Danio rerio: one gene and its partner. The protein of the gene in region 1 purifies or fractionates together with the protein of each later gene. This does not show direct contact. Links are inferred from orthologs where the notes say so. Each region holds a gene or a part of one and is shown in the gene's direction. Other genes may lie near its edges. The genes, in order: mapk4 and fastkd5.

Region 1 (3,838 bases):
TTATTTCTCAATTTCAGTCTTTGGCGGTGTTGTTTCCTGTGAGCAGTTTGAAAGGTCTCCATGAATCAGCGTCATCGAGAAGACAAAGGCTCTTTGTTTGAGCAGGACATGTAAATATCATTGTCGCTTGTGTCACCGTCAGCCTTCAGATCCGCCCTGCTAAAATCTCACAAATAATTCATCACCTGAGCCCGAGGGGAGAGTGGGAGGTGAGAAAGCAGGGGATGAAAGAAGGAGACTGTAGGAAGAGGGTTACGGAGAGTCAGAGAGCTACTGTACATCAGCTGTTTCTTTATCACACTTCACACACAAGCCGAGTCACATGCTGCATTCATAACACCCTACTCTAAGTAAGATTTATGGATAAAACTTTGCAATAAGGTTTCTATTAGTTAATGTTAGGTAATGCATTACTAAAAAAACATTTATTACAGTATTGCGTTAAATTCATGTATATTTTTATAGCGCTTTTGCAATGTAGATTCTGTCAAAGCAGCTTTACATAAAAGTTCTAGTAAATTGAAACAGTGTCAGTCCAGTTTTCAGAGTTGAATCTCAGTTTAGTTCAGTGCGGTTTAATTTTCATTTCTGAAAGTCCAAACATCTGATCTAAGAGCAAACCCATCAATGTGCAGCTCCCAAAACCAAGCAAGCCAGTGGCGAGGAACAAAACTTCACTATTTGACAAAAGGGAAGGAAAAATTCCTAGAGAGAAACCAGGCTCAGTTGGGCACGACCATTTCTCCTCTGACTTATTCAACTTAGTTATTGTTAGTTAATACAGTGCATTAACTAATGTTAACATACATTACTTCACATTTTAATAATACATTTTGAACAATGATTAATAAATGCTGTGCAGGTTTTGTTTATTCTTAGAGCATGTTAATAGAGTAACTAATGATACCTTATTGTAAAGGGCGACCAATTTATGTCAAACTACACCTTCTTCTTCTTCTTCTTTGGCCTTAGTCCCGTATGGTTGCGGGGTCGGCTTTTTGGAACAAGCCATTTTAGACCTGTCCATATGATAACGTCTTGTTTTTACACATTCCGGCCGGCCTGTCGTCTGGGCCTGTCACCCTCATACACTCATACACTATGGACAATTTAGCCTACCCAATTCACCTGCAGCATGTCTTTGGACTGTGGGGTAAACCCACACGAACGCACAGAAAACATGCAAAATCCTCACACTGAGCAGAGGTTCGAACCAGCGACCTTCTTGCTGTGAGGCGACAGCACTACCTACTGCGCCACTGCTTGGCCTTATGTCAAACTACACCATTTGTTTGAAATTAATTAATTAATTCATTTTTCCTTTGACTTAGTCACTCATCAAGGGTTACCACAGCAGAATGATCCGCCAACTATTATGGCATATGTTTCATGCATCAGATGCCCTTCCAGCCACAATCCAGTTTTGGGAAACCCCCCCCACTCTCTCCCTCTCACACACACACACACACACACACACACACACACACACACACACACACACACACACACACACACACACACACACACACACATGTGTGTACTTTTAGTCAAAAAATTATTACTTTTTCAAATAAACCGCTTTCTTTTGAAGCTTCTGTTAATCAAAGGATGTTATAAAATGCATCTCTGCCACCATAGAAAAATAAGTCCAATGAAGACCAAATCAGATTTATTTGTTTTTAGAATCTCATTTTATAGTTGTGTTCGAGTAAAATGTCATTTTCGTTTTATTTTGTAAACTACTGATGACAGTTTTTCAAAAATTTAAATAACAAAAACTGATAATTTAGAGCATTTTTGTGCATCAAATTTTGTGTGTTAGTCTTTAGACAACACAATACAATTGTTTTTTACTTCAGAAGCGTCCTTATGTAAGAATTCACAATGTTTCATTTCATTTATTTCAGCAAAATACTGAGTGCAGGATTGACAGAAGACATACATTCATACATTTTTCTTCAGCTTAGTCCCTTTATTCATCAGGGGTTGCCACAGCGAAATGAACCGCCAACTTATCCAGCATTATGTTTTACACAGCAGATCTCCTTCCAGCTGCAACCCATTTCTGGGAAAAACTCATTCACTCACATACAACACAGCCAATTTAGGTTATTCAATTCACCTATACCACAGAATTGCCAACTGACCCAGTTGGGACTCGAACCAGCGACCTTCCTTCTGTGAAGCGACAGTGCTAACCACTGAGCTGCCATGTTGCCCACAGACGACATGCACTAAAATGCAAATCAGGCATGATAAGTAAAAGAATCAAAATCCTAAAAAATAGTTTTATTCATAACATTTTAGCTTCTTACTTTGCCACCATCCTTCATACCACCAAAGATTTGACCTTTTTTCATCAAGAAGTTTTTAATTCTTTAAAGTGTACCCGAATATAGTAAACACTTATTCATTCATATATTTTAATACAGGGCAGAATAAGTGGCATATATTGTTTCATTCTTACAGGTCAGGATGACGATGGAACATTATTTCACAAATAGTTTGACATTTAATGTTCTCAAAAGTGTTTTTCCAAGTGTACGCTACTTTCTTTTTGGCATCTCTACTTTGACCAGAAGGCCTATACCGAGTACATTCATTTGCTATTCAGAGTAACCTGCTGAACAAATATCTTTTTTTTCAGCCAGACAACCTTCGAAAATATATCAATCGTTTTTACTGTCGTGTGTAAATATATATTAACCACATTTATTGTTTCCCGCACAGGGTTACCTGTCAGAGGGGATGGTCACTAAATGGTACCGTTCGCCCAGACTGCTGCTGTCTCCAAATAACTACACAAAAGCGATCGACATGTGGGCCGCAGGATGTATTCTGGCCGAGATGCTCACTGGACGAATGCTGTTCGCAGGTGAGGACAAAACACTTTCTGCTGCTGTCCTGTTAACCTTGTGGTTCAACAGAAACGTCAATCTTCATTATCTGGAGTCTCAGAGCGGCCTCTAGTGGCTGAATGTTGAAATAGATATTTAGACCTGATGTGTCAATTCATCAGTTTCACAGTTCTGCACTGCATCGGTAACATTGTAAATAAATGAAGCATTTTGTGTAAAAGATGTTGCAAATGTCTTTTTTTTTTGTTATTTCAGTTACAATATAGGAAAAATGCATGACTAGGGTTCCAATAATTTGAGTAAATACAAATAGCAATAAAAAACGCTGCTGTTTTAAATATGCTTATAGTTTGTGTTTATATGATATTTTTAATGATGTATACATTAAACGTATATATAAAATATTTACAGGTCTACATTATATTATCAACACATTTCATTTTGGCTTTAAAATTGTTTTTAAATTGGAATGATTGCTGTAAAACATTACTTTAAAAAAGAGAAATGTCTTAATTATTAAAAAAATAAATTAAATAAATAAAAAAAATTAAAAACACTACAAAACAATGTGATGCTAAGTTTACTTCTTTCCCCCCATACTTTAATATCATATTTCAAGTTGTTTGTGTACAGCTGTAATTCTTTCTTTCTTCTTATGTTTTTCCCCCCAAATTGATGCTTTGCCAATATTGAATGTATATAAATCATAAATCATTTGAACGTAACAATATTTATTTATATATATATATATATATATATATATATATATATATATATATATATATATATATATATATATATATATATATATATTATAATTTTATACAAAAATAGTATTATTCTCATAAAATATCTATTTAAAAAATAAATAAATAAATAAATAAAATATATATATATATATATATATATATATATATATATATATATATATATATATATATATATATATATATATATATGTATGTATGTATGTATGTATG
Region 2 (3,653 bases), on another chromosome or scaffold:
CATACATAACAATTAAAACATAAGGCAAACCCCTCAACATTAAAAAGGCTCAAATACTAAAGAACAAAGATGGTGTTTCAGACGCTTTTAAAAAACAGGTAGAGTTGGAGCATGTCTGATGTGGGGTGGAAGCCCGTTCCAGAGTTTTGGGACGACAACAGCAAAAGCCCGATCCCCACTTCGCTTACACCGGGACCTTGGTATAGATAGAATAAATTCATCAGAAGAGCTCAGTGACCTACCAGGATTGTATACATGTAGCAAGTCTGATAAGTAAGATGGTGCCAGATTGTTTAAGGATTTAAAAACAAAGATTGATAGTTTAAAATCAATCCGTGACCAAACAGGCAGCCAGCCCAGAGAGGAAAGAACTGGGGATATGTGCTCGAACTTACGAGTCCCTGCAGCCACATTTTATACTAATTGCACTCTGTTTAGGGCGTTTTGACTAATACCCACATACAGGGAATTGCAATAGTCAAGTCTTCCCAAAATAAAAGCATGGATCACCTTCTCAAGGTCATTAAAAGAGAGAAACGACTTTACTTTTGACACCAGTCGTAAATGGAAAAAACTGGATTTAACAACTGTATTTACTTGTTTGTTAAATTTCAGATCACTGTCGAATTAAAATCCTGAGTTTCTAACAAGTGGAAAGTGGAAAGCTCACCAAAACCTGATAAATGCAGAGGGTTAGGATCGCCAAACCAGACCAGCTCAGTTTTTTCTCCATTGAAATTTAAAAACTTTGACGAAAGCCAGCTCTTGACCTCGACTAGACATCTCATAAGGGAGTCAAACCCCTTTTAATCCCTACTTTTTAAAGTGACATAAATCTGAGTGTCGTCAGCATAAAAATGAAAAGCCACAACATATTTACAAAAAATAGATCCTAAAGGTAAAATATATATAAAGAAAATAAAATAGGTCCAAGTATAGACTCTTGTGGAACTCCACATGTCATGTCATTCCACCCCAAACACACTTAGTGAATATTAATTAATATTAATGAATAATACACCTGCTCAATGAAAATCTGATGATTCACTACATTAATAAATCTGCCATAACTAGATCAGAAATCTAAAAAGGGGAGAAAAAGATTAGACATCAATAGCAGCAGATAACAGTGCAATACTTATTTTTTATCCCGAACTCATCACCTTAACAGCGCCAACTGGGTCTAGTGGTTAGCACCTTGCGTTACAACGTCGCCGATCCGAGTTCGCACCTCACCAGGATAATTTATTTATTTTATTTTATTTTTTTCATTTTTAGTGTTAAGACATATAATACTGAGTGTGTTACTTATGTAGGGGTACATTTTTTTTTGTGCGTGCGTGCGTGCGTGCGTGCGTGTGTGACGACCGTTACTATAATGGCACTCCATTATCCAAGCTGGAAATATGATCCTTTTAAGTAACCAGTCTGACGCGACGAACTCATCCAAGTCGTTATATTCTTTTCTTGTATTTATTTGTTCTTCAAAGCAGGAACAATCTTTTTCTTTATATAACGATACAATATAGAACGACGGTCAAAAACGATATCACTCCGTCTCTTTCTCTCTTTACATCAAGGATATGACATGATCAGTCATAAATAAGCAAAGGCATAATTAAAGCATGCAATAATAATTTAAATAATATTTTGATTGTAGAAAGTATAAATGCAATAAACAAATAACGATAACTATACATAATATTTTACAATTTGCATAATAAATATGGCTCTAACAGTTACAAAGGACTGGATATCTATAAAGAATTAATGTTCTCATATTTATGAAAAACATTTGAAGTTCTCATGCAGCTGTGTCCTTGAAAAAGACGTGTTAGTGTCATTAGAAACTGAATTGGAAATAACGTTATTTTAATATAGTCAGTCGTCGACTGAGGTGGGCCGGTCTAAGGCTTGAAACTCTAGAGCTAAAAAGCAGTCCCACTCCTGCCCTGTGTGGCATAACTGTTCAGTTCAGTTATTAACAGTAATTCTTATGCTGTTCCAAACACAAACACATTTTTGTAGACATCAAAAACAAAAAATTCAAGAAACCAGGTGTTGCACATTTAAGATACAACATTACTATAGTTGTACTATATACAATACTGTAGATGTTGTATTGCAACTATAAAGCAAATTAGTTCAATTACTTCCCTATAGTACTGTTCAAAACCACTTTTAAATATTGAAGTATTTACAGTATTTTAATGTAAATGCACTTGGGCACATTTGCAGAACAAACATTGAGTAGATTTAAAACCAATTCAACTCTAACAAGAGTACAGCATCAGAATTAACTTCAAGACTTCGATGTATGGTCCTGATTCAGAATTAATTCCTCTACAGTCATCTTTCCATCTAGCAAGTTTTTCCTGTCTGCCTGATGATGAGTGAGAGGTGGCAGTAGCTCACCAAGTTTGTTTTCGACCACCATAAAACATGAAGAATTTGCGATTCTTGCTATCATATGGATTTACCTTTAACGGCCAGACACTGGCTTTACAGCTCTGAACGGCAGTGGCGTCGCTTAATGATTCCTGATTGGTAAATGTAGCTTGTGTGGACGCTACTTGCTTAAAATAATAGATTCTGGAAAGCTATCCTTTGCTCCTGGAAAGCTATTTGATTTAGCAAGTAGCGATGCTGGTGCCACGCTACTGATGAATGTAGTTTAGCTAGTAGCGTCACTGCAAATTAATGAAATTTCAAGAATTCACACTTAGATACTGTTTGACAACTTGTTAGCAAGTTAGCAGGTTTGTCATGCTGTCCCGGAAGAGAACCCTGAGCTCGGAGATAGTTGAGCCCAGGGCTCCCGCCAGGTCCATAAAGCATGTGAGGGGAGTACGAGGTCAGGTGTTCTCGAGAGCTCCCCTCGGCAAAAGAGGAAAGGAGGAGAAGGGGTGGATGGGGGGTTTCTTCGGAAAACGAAGATAAGTAGATCTTAGCTAGGTTACTTATAGTGAGTTTGGATCAATCCAATTGGCTAGTCAATGAGTGTAGATGAGTGGCCAGCTTCAGTCAATCATATCACGTGCTCCTCTCGAAATTAGTTTGTGAAACTACATTTAATGTAAAAACTTTAAAATAGTGTTGTTTTTTCGGTAATACAAACTCCAGTGATTTACGTTTACAACTTTATTTTTACATCAATTAATCAAATTTGTTTTTTGATCAAGCTCTAAGATTACTGTCATCGTTAATAATTAATAAGAATCACGGTGGACAAAACAAATGAGCTATTAGAATGTAGTTATACAATTTTTTCTGTTAAAAATCATCTGTGAAACATCACTTGGAAAATATTCGTAAAGCATTAATTTTTTTTGTCTTCAACTGTAGGTAATATTACAACATTTGCATACTGTCAATCATCATGTCACTTTTTTTATGATCCCTTCCAGTATCTGCTGCTGATGTCTGCGAATGTGCTACTTCATAACGTGGCAAAGCGACGTCTTTGTGCTCACGTACAGCGCCTTTCCTTTCTTAAAACCCAGCGTTTGTCATCACATGTGGACAATGGAGAGCAAAAGAGAGAAGAACGCGAAAGCTTGCTGTTGTGCAAACATTCATCGTATTACCAGACACGAACGTCACGTTCCTCTCATTTCAGCTACTTAAAAACTGGCAAAAAAATTCCCGGTAGT

Evidence for each region.
Region 2: the proteins of mapk4 (region 1) and fastkd5 purify together in Homo sapiens (affinity purification with mass spectrometry; 3 studies listed by BioGRID and IntAct, with this or other methods). This does not show direct contact. The link is inferred for Danio rerio from reciprocal best matches to the Homo sapiens genes MAPK4 and FASTKD5.

What each region holds. Positions count from the first base shown.
Region 1 is NC_133183.1:31,836,798-31,840,635, forward strand, and holds part of mapk4 (mitogen-activated protein kinase 4), read left to right. Parts: intron 1-2,730; coding exon 2,731-2,875; intron 2,876-3,838. UniProt on the Homo sapiens protein: Atypical MAPK protein. Phosphorylates microtubule-associated protein 2 (MAP2) and MAPKAPK5.
Region 2 is NC_133180.1:1,990,923-1,994,575, forward strand, and holds part of fastkd5 (FAST kinase domain-containing protein 5, mitochondrial), read left to right. Parts: intron 1-3,407; coding exon 3,408-3,653. UniProt on the Homo sapiens protein: Plays an important role in the processing of non-canonical mitochondrial mRNA precursors.